Linked DNA regions of Oreochromis niloticus. The protein of the gene in region 1 interacts with the protein of each later gene in a biochemical or structural test. Links are inferred from orthologs where the notes say so. Each region holds a gene or a part of one and is shown in the gene's direction. Other genes may lie near its edges. The genes, in order: gab1 and grap2b.

Region 1 (9,310 bases):
AATTAGTTCCATAGTGACTATGTGGTATGTGAAACTGTCTGAATGACTTGCTGTTGATGCTGAGGAGACAGAGTGCCCTCTCCACCTTTGTTGCAGACCATAGTAGAGGATAAGTGTGCAGAGGAGGAGGAGGATATTGGTGATGCTGAAGGAGATGAAACGGAAGGAACTTGGTCTGTAGACAAGACACTGTATTTTCAAAGGAAGAGAATAGCTGATCAAGGAAAGAGAGTCATTGGAGGTGGATGAGATTACTGACATCTGGAAGAAAATATAAAATAACAATCACATATAAAACATAAAATCATATCAAATGTCAAACTGAGAAAATGTACCACTGTAAAAACAAAATAAGCTGATTTTGAATTTGATGGCAGGAACACATGGCCTTGTCCTAATTTTCCAATATAGATTTTTGACCTTGATCCATTAATTCAAAATTTCACAGTTTCTTTAATGATATTATGTACATCATACAAGATATTCAAAGTCTTTGCAATTTCATATTGAGAAACAGTATTCTTAGATTGTTCAACAAATTGTATATGCAGTTCTTTCCAGATTGGTGAAAATATGCCCGTCTAAGATGGTCTTGTTATATTATTTTTATTACCATTTAACGTTTAATATTTTTCATGAAATTACAAATTGTCTCACTTTAAACTTTTCTTATGGTTTCTGGCTCTTTTGTGGATAAAATATGTTTGTTTTTTGTTTTTTTGTACTCAGTCTTTTTGAAATTGCGGTTTCATGACATCACTCAATTTTCATCTGTCCTACTTTGTTAACCAATCCCCTGCACTTGCAGCAAAATGTATCTCTTTTCCACCGCTTCATTTCAAGATATGAAAATTATATTCAAAGATAGAATAAAACTACATTGAAACCATACAGAACATTGTGATTTAATTATGTCTTGAATGAAAAACTAAAGATGTAAAAACAGAGAAATATTCTATAATTGTTTAGTTGTGACAATATTGTTTATTTTATTTTTTTATGTTTAAAGAACTTTTCCCTTGTAAGTAGTGTGAAGTGATGGAGGATTGAGGAGGATGCTCTGTGGTGACTAAAGTGAGCAGCTAAAAGAAGAAAAAGAAGAAGAAGACTCTCTTTGTCAGTAGTCTGATCTTCCTCCTATTGTGAGACACTCTTGTAAATGTCTGATTCGAATGTCCACCTCTTTTAGAAAATGAGTGTTTTTGTAATAGGTGAAGGGAGGAGTACAGGAGTACACATGCTATAATTCAAGTTCGTTCTTTGAATCTTTTTACACGGTTAAAATACGTTGGCCTTTATATTTTCTTTGTTTTCCCCTTTTCCCACAAGGCCAGAGAACAATTAGCATGACGTTTATTCAGTGTTGTCAGTTACACGAGCCAAGGTGTGTCCATGACGGCACTCTGGATTGAGAGATTAGAAAAGCTGCAATGTTATGAAAATACACGTATAGTAGAAATTTAACTCAACCACAAAGATTTGCTTCTAGATGGCTGAAATGTGCTCTTAGAAGGACTTTGTAAATGATCACCACCAGCTAATCATGCAGCTAGAATGAAGCCATGCAAATGATACTCATTTTTTCAGAACATTTTCATAATTCAAATAACTTTGAAACAAACAACGATCCATGTGTATACAAATCAAGTAATGCACTTTAGGTCATCACAGCTGCCCTCGTGTTTTATTCAAATATGAGCTTTCTTGTTTTGATTCTCGCAGGGGTGTTTAATCATGAAAATAACACAAAGTGAATATGTGTATATCAAGAAGAATCGAATCACTGCTTTCGACCAAATGACCTATTATTATTTCTCACAGGTGTATTTTTAGTTAATAATATATTTAAAATTGATATGCAAAAAACTGTGACTCTGCCATAAGAGTCACATTGAAGTAATGCACCACGCCCCACCAGTCCACCCTTTACTTGCAGGGTTTTTTTTGTTTTTTAAATGTGCAACAATATTCATTTTATATCCGTGGAAATGAAGCAGTACATATCAGATGAAAAATCATAGGAAATGTAATATTGTTGGGTGAGCCATCCATCCATCCATCCATCCATCCATCCATCTTCATCCGCTTTATCCGAGGCCGGGTCACGGGGGCAGCAGCCTAAGCAGAGAAGCCCAGACCTCCCTCTCCCCAGCCACCTCCTCCAGCTTATCCGGGGGAACACCAAGGCGTTCCCAGGCCAGCCGAGAGATATAATCTCTCCAGCGTGTCCTGGGTCTGCCCCGGGGCCTCCTCCCGGTGGGACATGCCCGGAACACCTCACCCAGGAGGCGCCCAGGAGGCATCCTTGTCAGATGCCCAAACCACCTCAACTGGCTCCTTTCGATGTGGAGGAGCAGCGACTCTACTCTGAGCCCCTCCCGGATGGCCGAACTTCTCACCCTATCTCTAAGCGTTGGAGGATTTTTCATTTTCAATATCTGCAGAGTTGGTGCTGAACACTGGTTGGATGGTCCCCCTGTGTTTTGCCTACGGCGCCAATCAGTTCAAGTATGTTCAGTTAATAATCCAAGAGACAGTCAGTGTCAGTTTGACACTTTGGTGTCTAAATCTTTGAGAGACCTTCTTTAACAAGAAAATCCTAAAATGGCTATGAAAAAGACAAATATCAACAGCTGTTTTTCTTGTCAACAGAAAAACAACAACAAGAACACAACAGTGACTTTAATTGCAGTTCTGTATAACTAACACCAGATGGCAGTAAATAGCCATATGTCACTCTGTATCAAACACAAACTGATAACTAGCTAAACAGATGGCCACATAATGTCAGTGTATTTTTACATTGTCTGACAGAAACATTGTTGTTTCTCTCCCTGTACTATTTTTCATTCCTACAAATTCTTTCTCCTCTTGTATTTAAGAAATGACAAAACGAACCTACTTTTGGCCACTTCCTTATTCACAAGAGGTCCCCACAGCAGGTAAGTCCACTTATTTTTGTCACAAATACATATACAGTTGTGAACAAGTCTTTGCCGCTTACCCTTTTTTTTTGGATATTTTTCACACTTAAAGCTAAGTATATTAGAAAAAAACTGTTTTTATATCATTTAAATCATTATTTCATTTTAATCACGATTTTTAAAAAAATGATATCCAAACCTATGTGAAAATGTAAGCCTGGAAAAGGTTACAAAGCAGTTTTTACAGTTTTAGGACTCCACACCAAACTAAATGAGAGTCATTATCCACAAAAGAAGAAAACTTTGAAGAGTGGCGAACTTTCCCAGAAGCAGCTAGCGTACAAAAATTACTCCAAGACTGCACTGATGACTCACCCAGGAGGTCACAAAAAAACACAACAAAAAAGAAAGTCTACAAACGGAGGAAGAATTTAAGAACAGTGTTCCTTAACATAAAATTATACAGACTTAAATATTTAAAATAAAGTGATATAATAATGGATATAATCACTCATGTAAAATTGTTCTGAGGTCAGAGAAATTGAAATTTGAAATTACTTTTGGAAAACTTGGATGACCTCTGAACTAAAGATAAGAGGGACCATCCAGCTGGTTACAAGTGCTTAGTTCAAAAGCCTGAAACTGTTCAGGGGTGTGTTAATGCCTTTTGTTGTACCTTATACTTCTAATAATGCATGATTTTCTTTGACAAAAGTACAGCAAGTTCTAATTCTCCCACCTAGTCACACAAAACAGAAGTACAACTCATACAACCTGAGTTTTTCCTAGGTGTTTGAGGGAACAATTGCCAGTTTTAAAGAAAAATGATACTATAAGATATTAATACTATATTTAGTAAAGGAGTAATAACTTAAGAATCAACTTTCAGCTGCTCTAGTACACTATTGAGCTGTTGTAGTTTACACATTTGCTTGGCAATGAAAGGTCCCTGGTTCAGTTATAGTTGGAGATACAAATCCCATTTGGGGTTTTGTCCTAAAAAGGCATTTGAGGCAAAAGTCTGCCACATCAAACATGTAGTAATTCCCACCATGAGGTCATCATGGTGGGAATTACTACATGTTTAAAAGACCTGCAGTCAGCTGAGACTGAAGAACTCACTTGGATGAGTGACGAAATGTTTCTCCCACTGAAAACGCTACGTCCAGATGAACAGAATCAACTTTTGGAAAATTATCTGTGCCATTTTTTTTTTAAATATAAAGCTTCTGTTTGTTTGTTTTTTATGTCAAGCAAATTACTATTAACAGAAATAATACATGTACTTCAACTGCAATATAAGAAAGGAATAAATAAATGAGCATCATATAAAGATAATATTGACAATAAATCAATTTATGTGTAGGTTTTGATTTGAAAACAGTTCAATTATAAAAAAAAATAACTTAAGAATTAAAAAAATAAAATATAAGGTATAATACAAGAAATAGTCAAGCCATGTAAACTGAAGTTATTACAAGAGAAGAAACTGAAGAAAGTGGACTTCATCTACTATTTAGTTTGAGACTTTCAGCACTGGAGGGTGCTGTAGCCTCCCTTTTACCAATATAATATATTTTAAAGAAGTCTTTAATTTCAAGTGTACTTGGAACTCTGGAAACTGATCAACTTAGGGTTAAGCCTAAACCTTAAACAACTTTCAGTGCTCTTTCACACAAGATACCTGGAGATACCAAGGTACATGGATTAAGATATAATCATCAATAGACCCCAAGGTTGTTCATAATGGCTGTTGAGCTGTTACTGAATGTATGCATCTTTTTTTAAGTAGAAATTAAAAAAAACAAACCAAATAGATGCTGTTGAAGGAAAGAAGTTTTTTTTTTCTTGTTTTGTTGAACATATGTTTTCTTTTGTTGATATCAAAAGTCTAGTCTGTCATAGTAGACCCATACTCATGCTTATTATATTTAGAAATCTAATTTATCCATCAGTTTATTCAACTTATGTCCATGCCATGTTCACTTTATTTTAAAGTAGACATCTTTCTTTTCCCTCGCACATTTTCCAAAAAAAAGCTGCATCCATATCCACAGGGGGAGTTTCCTGTTACACGGAACAGGAGGAGAATGGGAGGAGTGAGGAGGAGGAGGAGGGAAAAGTGGGTGGAGAGGAGAGCAGGAATGTCCGAGCTGAGGCATTGTGTTCAGTTATCACACAACCACAAAATGCGAGAGAGTGAGAGAAAGGAGGGAGGAGGGAGGGAAGAGTGACTGCTGGGAAGTTGAAGCTTTCTCAAAAGGAGGTGTGACTCAGGCGTCGACGGGTGAACAGAGGCTCTTCCATGTGTGGATAGAAACTGCTCAACTGATTCATTACAGCAGGATTTTACTTAAAAACAGACTGGGAACCTTAACTTATTAAAAGTCTGATTGACAAGTGGAAGCCTGACCTACACATGTACAGATCAACTGACTGGACCTCAGACTGGTGCGAAGCTTGGATGCCTTGTTTACCAATTTAAAGGCAAATCAGCTGATCTCGAATCTGGTTGGAATTGATCATTTTTAACAAAACAGAAGACTTACTGAAACGTTTAATTAACCCATGTGACATTTGATTGGTTAAATGTACCTGACTGTTGGAAATTCATGGTGATCAACTGAATGGTTGCCTGCTTTGACACATTATTGGCATCCTGATCAACTGAGGTCCATCTGATTGGTTGATTGATAATTAAAGAAGCGCTGCTGGAGCCATTTTTGTTGGCATCGGGATGAGCGGAGCAGGGGAGGTGGTGTGTGAAGGGTGGCTGCGAAAGTCTCCCCCAGAGAAAAAGCTGAGGCGCTATGTGAGTATTTTATTTGAATTTGAAACATTTTGAAAAAATGAAACATACAAAAAACTGTGCATATGTTCTGTATCTTTGTGATGTCCAGTGTGGGTATATGAAGTATCCTAAAGCTGTACAAAGATTTTTAATCAGGAGTACAACTACAGAAGTATTACTAACTGTTCATGGAGGTTTGTCTCTGTAGCATTTAATTAAGTTTGAAGATTCGTCTCAGTTTCATCAGTGTTTACACAGTGAGTCATTTCCTACAGTTACACACTCTTGATTATAAAACAATAAAAACTATCCATCCTAACACACCTGTCAACTAGACAGGAAGCAACACTGTAATGTTACTTGACTTTGTACTACCACATTATAAAATAAAGAGAATATTTGTGGAAGGACAAAGTCAAGTCTATGGTTTACCCCATCCTTCACATTAAGACAGCTGAGATAGGCTCCATCACCACCATGACCGTGAACTGGATTTGCAGTGGATTCGTAAACAAATGGATAGATTTTTATTTCTAAAAAATGAGAATTCACACATTATTTATTTGGCCCTATTCAGAATACAGCTAATACACAAGCTAAATCTAGAGAAAAAGAAAAACAGCTCGATTGTATGCTATATCTTTAGCACAGCTACAATATTTCTACTACAGTTAGCATATTAGCGTGCAAGCTAGCTGTTTGTTTACTTCAGTCAGGAAGCAGACTTTTAATTACAGCTAGCACAGCAGTCAATATCCTTAAAGTGACATCTGTAGCTGTCTTGTATTTGTATCGTATTGTAGGTGAATTTATTTGTGAGTCCTTTCTCTATGAATTTATGTAAAATGCATACATCTTAGCCAAAAATGTTAAGCCTTAATCCCATTATCTTTGAAAAAACAAAAACAAAGATGTGACACAGATAAATACGCTGATCTTTAGCTGATATATTAGTCCTACAAACTAACTGTTATACAACTTGTCATTAGAAACATAACTGACTTAAAGATGAGCTACAACATTGCTACAATGTAACTTGTGATCTGATAAACATGTAAAATGAACAAAGTGGACAGTTCTAGCTGCTGTCAAAAGGAACAACTGTTTCCAGTTACATGTAAGCCACAAAAATGTTATTTAGCATTTTTCAAATCCCAAACCTGACAACCTGGCTCTGTGCCTGTAATGAATACCAGAGACTTGGACCAGTTTTGTTTTTTCCTGAATTCTCCTTCACTATGTAGAATAAGTGGAAGGATGGATTAATGAATTCATGCAAGTTGGTGTGTCCAGTGGCACCACTGGCTGCTTTATTCCAGTAAAGAAGCAGCTTAGGCAGTTAGGATCACATGCATGCACCGCATATTTGGCATACCTTACCAGTGAGTTGAGCTAATCTCATCTCTCCTTCCATATTTTCCCTTGATGTTTTATTCTTTCCATTTCTAAACAAATGTTTGGTGTACCTCTCTCTGTGTTTCTCTTTCATTCTTGTGCTCTCTCTTCCTCTCCTATGATCACATGCTTTCCTTTCCTCCTGCCCCCACTCTCTCTCTGTCTGTCTTTGTGTGTGTGTGTGTGTGTGTGTGTGTGTGTGTGTGTGTGTGTGTGTGTGCAGGGAAAGTGAAGGATAAAAAATAGTCTAGAAGAAAAAGTGATAGGAAGTGAAGCTGCCTTCAATACCAGAATCTGCTCAGGGAAAGCTGAACAATTTCCAGATTTGAACCAGCAAGCTTTTACGTGAGAAGACGGCTCTTTGATGAAATAGCTGAAACAAAGCATCACTAAAAGGCCGGCGAAAAGCACAGAGAAACTGTGCCAGCATTAATTAGGCAGACTTCAATTTAATTCTTCTTAGCTGACATCAGTAGACCCATCGCAGGGAACGTTTTTAGGAGGGAACAATCAGATTTCAAAGAAAGTGGAGTGCTGGAGTTGCACTTTCTTACTGCTTGGTTAAAAATTAAGGAGACCGTGCACATCCACTGGAATCAAAGAAGAAGAGCTGGAGGAAAAGGGAGAAGAAGACAAGAGACGAAAACGCAGAGAGGCGAGACGGCAAGAAAAAGAAAATTGCTCCAAACAGAGAGACCATTGTTGAGTCTGTGTATATATTCAGTCATGATGGTATATACAATGAAATGTGTGCATACACTGCTTGGCCAGCTGTGTCTCCAATATCAACACACTCACACTTAAACACACAAACATGCACAGTCCCCTACAATGGCAGAAGCAGACAGTTTGTGTGTGCTTGTTCATGTATAGTGGGTAAAGTTCATGGAGTGTACTTCGTCACACACTCCCTGTACTGTTGAAAGCTGTGTGTGCGTTATGTAATAAACTAATCACACTCAGCTATGCCTGGTTAGAAGATGAGGGCCTCCCTGAAGATTTAGAAGATTTGAAAACACACACACACACACACACACATTCTCTGGAAGCAAACCAGGGATAATGATGAGGTAAATTTTGAAACCTTGAGTACAATAACACATGTTTTACACACACACACACACCCAGAAGGTCAAACACAGTTGAAGAAAGAGTTGGCTCTGCAAAGGCCCTCTCTTGGATATATATCACAGTTTGGATACCTCCAAAAGTCCTGCTCTCCATCAATGTAATGGTGCAGTGGTGCTCTACAGACAAGTTCAAAACCTAGCCTTGGAAAGGTTTGAATAAAGAGCTCTGATTTTATGCATCCCAGCACCACAGATGCTCAAACACCACTCAGCAGCACCCACAGAGTTGAACGTTACTTAGCCACGGCCTGTAAAGTATGTAGCATTTATGGCACTCGATAGGATAATGGGATACAATGATCTGTCTAAATTGCTGGTGTGAATGGCTCTTATATTTGACATTTATTCCATTCCATTATGCGGTTGCATCCGATTAATGCGTAGCAGGATGCTACAAGATAAGTTTCAGTCAGCCACGGTACACCTGAAATGTTACATTTCACCTCGAGAGAGTTATTCATGATTTCAGTTTTTCAAGTTGAAAAATTCCTAACCTATGATTTAAATGAAATACAGCAAAGCTAATCCTGTTTCACTCTAATTTGGGTCCTATACCTTACATTTGTCTGTGTATGAAACTTTAGGCTGAACATGGGCAAAGCAGGAACTGTTTTATTTGGAAGCAGATCTGAATCACTGTGTTTACAGCTGTGAGATGGGGCGTTGACCTTGGCTGAGGACATGCTCTCTGGGGCAATTCTAATTTCTTTCTTTTCTGCTTGTTGGTTCTGCTCTAATATTGAGATCTGGGAATGACATGGCTGACAAGCACCACTAAAAAACGAAGCCAGTGAGCGAAGAAAAGACCACACTGAAAAACAGTTTAGGCATATTTATCTGGATTAGAAAGCAAACATAAACAGGAAAATTACCACCAAATTATCAGGGTTAAACTTTTATCTCTTGTAATATTTTCCTTTGCAATCTAAGCTTTAACTTCTTCTTGACGCTCCAAAGAGCATCTGAGGAAATTCTGAACAACTAATAGAATAAAGTTGCTATTGGTCAAAGTCATTGATCCATCCTGGTACCTGCTGTTTCACTTCCATAACACAAAATAATCTTATTTC
Region 2 (9,539 bases), on another chromosome or scaffold:
CACTTAAGGGAATGGGAACTGTCAACAATATGAATGTAAGAAGGAATTTTGTTGTGCTGAGACTCATTGATGGCCGCGATGTTTTTAAATCCTGGTGGGACTCTTTTTGTTTTCAGGGTTTTTTTTAGATTTCCAAGAAAACTGCTCATCAAAGCACTCAAAATCTTCCCTTTCTTCCTCACTCTCTTCCCTCCTCCTCGCACTTGGACACACATGGGGGAGAAGCCGAGTAGAGTTAAGCGAGGTAAACTGAATGAAATGTGATGTGTGCTCACAGAATATTTATCATACATCTCCGTCTCTCTGTCAAATACATTTATCTCTTCCTCTTCTAGGTGCGCTCACTCAGTCACCCTCCAGATTCTGAAGTACCTCAACACCTAAAAGATGCGACTGTCACCAAGCACGAATGCACACAGACACACACACACAGTCACGGACATCATGCAGAGTTAACAGGCCCATTAATGCTGAATGGCAGCTCTGCATTGAGCCATGTACAAGTCCTTTCCATCTTTGAAAACAGAGCTTTATGAGCTCTGTCATGAAACTAGATGGGATATTTCATGGCCCAGGCCATTAAATGCAGTCAACAGTGTGTCGCACACACAAACAAATACGTACACATGCAGGCACACACACACCCACACAAACACAATGCCTTATTACACCTGTACCCCCTTTGTTTTTCTTGATCCTGCATAATAAGCTGCAAAACAACAGATCCATGTACAGCTGCAGGTCACCTTGGAAACAGCTACCAAATGATTCTTTTAGCATTATAAAAATAAATAAATAAAAAATCATGCACATAAGCATCTGCAAGGTTGCATGGAGTCCATTTATCGGCCCCCTCATGGTAGGAATGCCGATTGTTTAGGCGCTGCTTCTTTTTTTTTCAGTTTTTTAAAATCACATTTTCTTTCAGCCTAGACGCAGGATGAAATGCCCGGCTAACACCACATGGGGATCTGAGCATCCATGGCAGGCCAACCACTGAGACCGACTGTGAATATCAGAGTGAGAGACAGAGACAGGAAAACCAACAGTGTGTTGGTGGTGGCAGAATCTGCTTGCTTTGGCCCCAGCTGCATTTCCATATGTACTCTACTTCAGCACTTCCTTTCTGTTAGGCTATCTGTACCGTCTGCCCTTTCTTTGTAGCATACCAAGTGCTTTTAGCTACAAGTCACACTATACACTCACACAGTGCTGCAACCACTTTATCTACCTCACATCCATGGCCAATTTACAATCACCAATTAACCTAAAATGGACATCTCTGGACAGTGAGGAAGCCAGAGTACCCAGAGGAAACAAATGTAGGCTGAGGAGAACGTGCAAAATCCAACGGAAAGGCCTCAGCTGGGATTTGAACCAGGAGTCTTCTTGCTATGAGGCAATTGTGCTAACCATGCATACTGTGCACTCATTTTTGCATCAAGTCACCATTTCTCAGGGCACCCTGTGACCTCTGTATGACCTCTGCTTCTTATGCGGACCATATATTGATCTCTTTGTTTCACTCTTTCAGTGTTTGGAGATTTGACCCTTTAAAGGGCAGAAGGCACCTGTCTCTGCAGGAGCCTGGGCTAATGTGTTGACATCACAAACCGTTCTCGTGATATTGTTAAGAATTCCCTTGAACTCTGTCACCACTTTTGGATTGAACAGTTTCACAGTTTTAGTTTCAGGTTCGTTTTAATCAATAGTTTCTATTGATTTGACCCACACTAGTGGCTCAAAAACACCTGAATGGATAAATAAGCCATTTATTCAGGCTAATGTAAAAAAAAAACAGCCAGAGGTTGTAAAAGTAGAAATCACCTGTACAAGACTATTTATGTTTAAATGTATCCATTTTGGTGTATTTTTGGTCACTTCAAGCTAAAAAAAAAAAGAAGAAGAAAAGCTTTAAAATTGGCAGCACGGTGGTTAGCACTGTTACCTCGCAGCAAGAAGGCCCTGACTTCACTTCCATCACCAGGCTGGAGATTTTTCTGTGTGGAGTTTGCATGTTCTTTCCAGGTACTCTGGCTTCCTCCAGCATTGGAAAGACAAGGAGTTAGTAGGAATAGGTTAACTGGAAACTCTAAATTGCCCGTGGGCGTGAATGGTTGTCTGTGTCTATGTGTTAGCCCTGTGACAGACTGGCGAACTGTCCAGGGTGTCCCCTGCCTCTCACCGTGAAACAGCTGAGATTGGCTCAGCTCACATATACCTGGAACAATCAGCACAAAAAACAGTACAGATGTGGTTCCCATTTGAAGCATTCTGATGACTTTTAGTGCAAAGTTCTTTTCTTTTCCCCAGCTTTTCCAATGAGTGCATTTCAGAGCTCCTAGCAGCAGCATGAACTGATTTGGTAGCATCAGTCCTTTTTATTCTCTGATTCTTTGGCTCTGTCTTGTAGTTATTTGACATTTTATTGTCATTTCTATCAGACAACACGGTGGTGCCCTTTAAAAGGACAGAGACAAATCACTGCATCCATCAGTGCAGCGATTTCATGCCACTTGAGTTTGGCATCTTTGCTCTCACCAGCCGATCCAAGCGAATCAAAAGGTGGCCAGATAGCATCACAAGAGATATAATAGCAGCAGAACAGTGAGTGCCCCAGTGCTAAAGCACAGATTTTGTGCTACAAGCATGCAAATGAAAAAGCTCAGCAATCAGGGTGAATTGTATCCATATCTGTGACATCATACACCTGAAAACTATTCAGAATTTAACCTAATCTGTGCCTAAGAAAGATACTGACATGTCACTGGCTTGTTATTTATTGACACAAATTTTCTCCTCCTACCTGATCCTACTCTCCTCTCATTCTTCCGTATATGCAGTTATAAATAAATAACACAATATATTTTAGATAAATTATTTGGCTTGAAGTGAAAATCGGTAAATTGGGAGGCCTCTCTTGCCAACAAATTGAATATTTTCTCATATTCTTATTACCTAAAATCAAATGAAACCCAAATAAGCACAAAAATGATCTGGTTCATGATCTGCAGTGTCACTTTGTGTTTCTCTGAGTTTGTGTCTATAATGGTCTTTACTGACTTGAAAAACATCTCAACCTTTTTTCCCTGAAGTCTGCTGCCACCATGTGGCAAACACAGAGCAACACTCAGTCTTTACATTTTGCAAACACATCCACTTCAGATGTCGAACAAGACCAAGTACAAAATTCCTATTTTGCCATAGTATGGTCATCTCAGGCACACAGTCCTGGCTTAAAGGAAGGGTGATTTTAAAGAAAAGGAGAGGATAAACTAATTGGCTTTACCAAAGCCCACCATTTGGTAAAAGAGTTATTTGAAACTATGAATCATGCAAAGCTTCTATAGTTGGTTCTTGTGACTGACTGGTAGATTCTTAGCAAAATATCTAATTTTTTCGACAGCAGGACTTACGGCTTCACATTTTCAACATATGTCCCCACTTCAGGAAGCAGAGGGAAGAGTGAGGCAGAAAGGATTTTCCCAAAATTGAAAATTGTGGAAGTGGAGGCAGACAGAGCGGTCAGCAGATGAGGTGGAGGAAGGACTGATTTAAGAACAAGGCGCTGGAAGCTCAGAGGAAGACATACCAGCTTCTGAGGAGCCATGGACAATGTGATGGCACCCACCATCACATTGCATAATGGATGGAAAAATAGGAAAAACAATGTAATTTAGGCCTCTGAAGTTTTGCATAAGGAAAAAAATGTCAGAGCACACAAACCAGAGCATGGTGCTCATCCCTGATGGCAGCACTAAAAATGAAAACATTCTGGAGCATATATGTTCACACCATGACTCAGATAACCAAGATATCCCAGTTATACCCAAATCATTCTTCAAGATTAGGTAGCCCATTAAGGTAACAAATGGTCATGATGTCCCTAATAAGCTAGAAAGAATAAAGCCTCCTGTCAGCTATGTAAAGAGTGGTCATTGTTTGCAGACACAAATAAAATGCAGGGGACAAAGGCGAACATTTGATGCAGGAATGATGAAAGGAAAATACAGTCTAATGATAGAAAGCAAAAGACCAGGACCCACAAGGAATAATTCCACCAAGAGGGGAAACACTAGGAACACACAGCAAAACGATGACTCAAAGGACAAGGGGACATGAAGGCAGTAAATATAAATGATAATAAGGCCAGGGATAACAAGACAAGGGAATATAAAGCACAGGTGACAAAACACTACCAACGTAAAACAGGAAGTGACTAAACAGAGATGACAAATTCAAACATACAAACCTGACACGGCGGGGCACAGGGGGAAACTAGGACAAACAACAACAGACTGTACAAACATGCCAAACAAGAATAAACAATGAACATTAAAGAATAATAAAGGATCTTCAATTATTGCACTTGTCACTCAGTTATTCCTCAGAGCTCACGTCTCCTGCCAAGTTCATTTTTATAGCATTGTCACCTGGGAAACAAAATTATTTCACATGTAAATAAAGTTAAACACATGCATGCTGTTTGTGAGAGCATCGGCTGCACCACAGCAGAAGCTCCAGCTGTGGGAAAAAGTTCAAACCGCAGTTCACCTGCTGGAGAAATGTTTAATAGGTCATCGTTACATCAGTGGAAAAGTTCACAGAAGCTAAACTTCCCCTGTTGAGTTTGAAGCTGAGGTGGACTGATGAAATGTCAGTGCCTCTGTGGCTTTCTTTGATATACTAATATTGTTGATACAGTTCGATGTGCTACGGCAAAGTCTGCAATTAGTGATGTTTTTTCTTCTCTGATTGGTTAAGCATTTGATTTTCTTCTGCAAATCCCCGTCCTTTCCATTTGCAGCTTTGCCAGATTGAAGTCAATGCTTTCATCTCTTTGTAGTGTTTCTCTGTGAGGACTGTGTATTTAGCAAATAGCTCTTGGCCAACAATCAACCACAATAATAAAAGCACCGGCAGATGAAGTGAATATTTCTGATCATCTTTTGAAGGACATAGTTCTGCGGGGAAACCCTAACATTCATGTGGATGTTAGTTTAACAAGCACTGCCTACCTCAGCAATGCAGCCAAACAGCACACCTTCACGGGCATTCCCCAGTCACAGGAGAATGCACCCTACCAGGAAAACAAAAGTTAAAATCCAAGGATGTCCATTCATCTATCCAGCCTAACCACTGTATACTCTGTATATCTTCTAATTTGCATTCTAAGATATTAACAACTTTTAGATCATGCTGTCAGGGGGCTGTCCAGTCTGTCATGTGTTTCGTGTGTGTGTCCACGTTGTCAAGCTTGTGTGTCATGTCTACGTTCCATTATGTTTCCTGTTATATTTTGAAAGTCTTGTGTTCCCATGGTCAGTGTGTTTAGTTTTGCTTCCCTTGTGGTGTCATGTTCATTTGTGTCAGCTGTGTTTCCCCAGGTGTTTCCACTCCCCTCATTATCCTTCTCATTATATCATATCTTTATCATTATCCTTATGTGTATTTTAGTCCTCTGTCTTCCTCCGTTCAGAGTTGGTCTGTCTGTTTACCTTGTGTCAGGTCGGGCCTCAGAGTTTTTCACGCAACTGTTCTTCACATTCATGTCTTGTATGTACCTGTTCAGTTCCATGTTCATGTCTCTCGTCATTGTTTTCATAGTTAGTTTAGTTATTTCACACTTTAGGTCTTCTTGTCCCTTTGTTTTGCAGTCAGCCTAATAAAGGCTCGCTTTTTGTTTAAACCTCTGTTCTTCTCTCACATATCTGCATTTGGGTCCACACCGCAAACACACCGGCCCACCGAGCTGTAACACATACTAATATTAAGCATGTTGGGGTTTTGTTATTTGGGTTACATGTGCTGGAAGACTGAGTCAACTGAGTACCAGAGTTTCTTCTCAATCAAATACAATTCAAAAATGCATTAAAGAGCTCTGTCTGTTAAAAAGCATTTTTAAAGCAAACTATTCTGCATGCTAGGTGAAAAAAATGTGACAATTAATGTGACAGAAAAACCATTTTAATGTGACGGGGTACTAATGGGGGAATTTACCACTTAGACAGTCTGACCATTAGGGATTTTACAGGCTGAGGAAAAAAGGGGAAAAATACATAGTTTCAAGATAATGCCAAAATACGCTTGATCAGAAATTCCATACAAACACCACAAACTAAAGCACTTCCTCTGAGGTGAGTAAAGACCTTGAATGAGGCTTACTAGGGCAACAGGGACCATAGAAAGGGGATTTGGCACATGCACACAACACAAACTAAAACTGAGCACCAAAGTGTCGCATAATAAAGGTCAAGCTATTACTGGTCAACAACAGCCAGTCCTGTTCAGCGAAGAGGAAAAATAAAAAGGTGTAAAATTACTGTCAGCTGGATTTAGTTAATGGCAGCTTGGCTTAATATTCATGACAATCAGCTATCATGATGAAAGCAACAAAAACACTTGAACTTCAACCAATTTACAAGCTTGTTGGGGCCCTAACAAAACATCTGCAGGGGGCCTCCAACCAGCATTGGTTGGTCCAACCATTGTTTATTGTAGAGGCTAAGTCTACGCTTGAAGTCATTGAGGTGTTCAGTGAGCAGGTTTGGCGTGATGCCACTGTTATGAATGAAAACCTGCAGTACTGATAAAATCCAATAACTCCAGCGTTGCTTATCCTGTCAGCTTAAGCATGTATTGCTCAACATTGATTGCCTTTGCCATTCCACAGTTCATCTTAATATTCAACATAAATCACAACAGCACAGCGGTCACAAGCTGTTTGGTCCCTCCAAACAACAACACCCTAATTAAATCTTCCTACTTTTAATAAGATAAGATAAGATAAGATAACCTTTATTAGTCCCACACGTGGGAAATTTGTTTTGTCACAGCAGGGAGTGGACAGTGCAAAAGTTATGAAGCAAAAATTAGAATAAAATAAAATAAGAATAAATACAGTACACAACTGTACAGAATAGAATAAAATAAAATACTATATACAGTAGAATAAAATAGAATAAAATATACAATAAGATAAAAATAGAATACAAATGCTTTATACAACTGAGTAAAAAATACAACGATGCCAGGAAGATTATTGCACTTAGTGTTATTGCACATGTGTGTGTTTGATCAGTTAAAGTCTTTGTTGTGGAGTCTGACAGCAGTGGGGAGGAAAGACCTGCGAAATCTCTCCGTCCCGCACCGTGGGTGCCGCAGTCTCCCACTGAAGGAGCTGCTCAGTGCTGTCACAGTCTCATGCATGGGGTGGGAGATGTTGTCCAACAGGGATGACAGCTTAGCCGCCATTCTCCTGTCACTCACCACCTGTCATTTACAAACACAACAAGTAACACATAGCGACACACATAAGGTAATAAACAGAACATGTATAAAACACACATATACAAACATATTATAAATAGAGTTGTTTTTTTTTTGTTTTTTTTCTTTAATATTTAGTTTGGGTTTCCAAGTACAGCAATAAAGCTGCCTTCTTAAGTTAATTCCCTAGTCTCCTCTAAAAGTGCCACTAACCCATCCTCTCCTATCTGGCAGTCCTCAGGTGCTCCACTGCTTGATCCCTGTCTTGCAAACACGTATCCAAGCTATACTAAGCTACTTGCCTGCCTTGTCTGGTGGAAAACCTCTGACACAAGAAACACAGAGAATGCACAAAATAAACTTGGCACATAATGACAAGCTGTGGGAAGGGAGGGTTTTTGTAGATCCAAGAAGCAGTTTATTACTGTGGCCAGCAGCAATGGCCACATTAAAAAAAATCAAAGCTGGTATTGTGCAAATTTCAAGTATAACCAAACAAAACTAACTCTGTATAATGAAGCAACCTGTGAAACCAGAGGGAGAAAAGAGTGACAAAGCAACACTAGCCAAAGAAAGACAAAATACACATGAAATACTTCAGTTTGCCAGAGAGCACAAAAGTATTTCAGGTGAAAGACAAATGTGCTTAAAATGTCTTGGGTGCAACCACAAGCCAGTCATAGTATGTCGGTAAACACACGTGTAACAACACCTCAGGCAGTTGTGACAGACAGAGACTTAAAAAACCTTTATCACAGCTTTGTTTTTCTTTGATTTGTTTGGTAAATAGACTTTAGTCAACATGATTTACAGTTACATATAAAATAATGACCTAAACATTTTACCTATATTATAATAAATCCAGTCGATTTTGACTGTTTGCAATAACTTTATAGAACTATAATATTTTCTTCTGCTGCGTTTTTTTTTTTTTGTTTGTTTTCCCTGATCTCTTTGCCAACAGATAAACAGATGCATAGAAAGGCTCCTATCTGTTTCTATGCATCTCTGCACTGTGTCTATTTCAGTGCATGTGAGTGTATGCTGGCCAGAGGTGACGGTGTTTCCTGTGAACTGACAAGGAGTTCGTCACCTCTCTTTGTAAATTTCTCACTTCTCTTCGTAAGCCGCATGAACGCAGCTCTGTCTGGAGAACAGTACAAAGGGGGGTGAGTAAACCTAACATTTTTGCCTCTTTGATGAGGTACTTGGCAAGTCGTCATTTTGAGTTATGGCTAGCTGCCCTCCTGTTTTCCGAGCAGCCGCATTGCTCCTGGTTCTCTGAAGACACAATGCGCAGCCCTTCAAATAAAACTGTTTTGTGTGTGTGTGTGTGTGTGTGTGGACAAAATTCAAGGTGAGAAAATATGCTTTACGGGCGCTTAAAGGATTTTGTTGTAGAGGTGCTAACACAGGTTGTAGTCGTAAAGGATGCACGGAAAGGACGTAGCGACTGTCCTTGATTGAGTGGGGAATTATTCCGTCCATTAAGATACTAGAAGAGCACCAACTGATGTCAGTGCCATGTTTCTTTTGATGGGTGACTTACACACGTCTGTTTTCCCGGCTCATTAATCACTTCAGTATTTTTATCTGAGCACACAGGAGTACTTCTAACCTTTTGTTTCTTCATCCCTTCTTAGGTTTGTCTACGATGGAAGCTACGGCCAAGTTTGACTTTGAAGCTAATGCGGAGGATGACCTGAGCTTCAAAAGAGGAGACTGCTTGAAAGTAAGGATCACACACAGACATGCAAACACTTCCTTGGTTTGCTTTTAGCAACAGCACTCTTCACACAAGTTATAAAAAGTTGTCAGCATGCAAAAACATTCAAATGTCAGGTTTTATATATATATATTGCATATAATCCAGAGTATTTCCATGTATATTAGTGCTTTATCACACTTGTACAACAATGGTGCACTGTACTATTCTCTGAAGCCCTCTTCAGTTCTCTGTGCAGCCAACCACGACTGCATCCTGCTGCTTAAGTCCGAGTTTCCTTCCTGTTTACGTTGCCATTGCAACAAAATCTTTATATCTTCTTGACAGAATCAAAAAGTAAAATCATATAGCAGAGGTGAACGCACAAATAACATCAAACTACCAGACAAACAGATACAATAATTCTTGACTCACCTTTCACACATTGCTTTTGTTAGCTAAGCACCTTGCTGAAGCATTAGTTCAAGTATATACAGCTGCAACCTTAATCTAGGTGCTTTATTGTTATGATATGTTTCAAACCATGTGAACAATGGAAAAACAT

Evidence for each region.
Region 2: the proteins of gab1 (region 1) and grap2b form a complex in vitro, tested with the Homo sapiens proteins (2 studies listed by BioGRID and IntAct, with this or other methods). The link is inferred for Oreochromis niloticus from reciprocal best matches to the Homo sapiens genes GAB1 and GRAP2.

The regions. Positions count from the first base shown.
Region 1 is NC_031967.2:38,053,873-38,063,182, forward strand, and holds the start of gab1 (GRB2-associated-binding protein 1), read left to right. Parts: upstream 1-5,109; 5' UTR 5,110-5,661; coding exon 5,662-5,736; intron 5,737-9,310. UniProt on the Homo sapiens protein: Adapter protein that plays a role in intracellular signaling cascades triggered by activated receptor-type kinases. Plays a role in FGFR1 signaling. Probably involved in signaling by the epidermal growth factor receptor (EGFR) and the insulin receptor (INSR).
Region 2 is NC_031971.2:8,430,373-8,439,911, forward strand, and holds the start of grap2b (GRB2-related adapter protein 2b), read left to right. Parts: upstream 1-5,448; 5' UTR 5,449-5,508; exon of another isoform or gene 5,509-5,556; intron 5,557-8,233; exon of another isoform or gene 8,234-8,297; 5' UTR 8,298-8,438; intron 8,439-8,481; exon of another isoform or gene 8,482-8,626; intron 8,627-8,635; exon of another isoform or gene 8,636-8,784; intron 8,785-8,912; 5' UTR 8,913-8,923; coding exon 8,924-9,001; intron 9,002-9,539. UniProt on the Homo sapiens protein: Interacts with SLP-76 to regulate NF-AT activation. Binds to tyrosine-phosphorylated shc.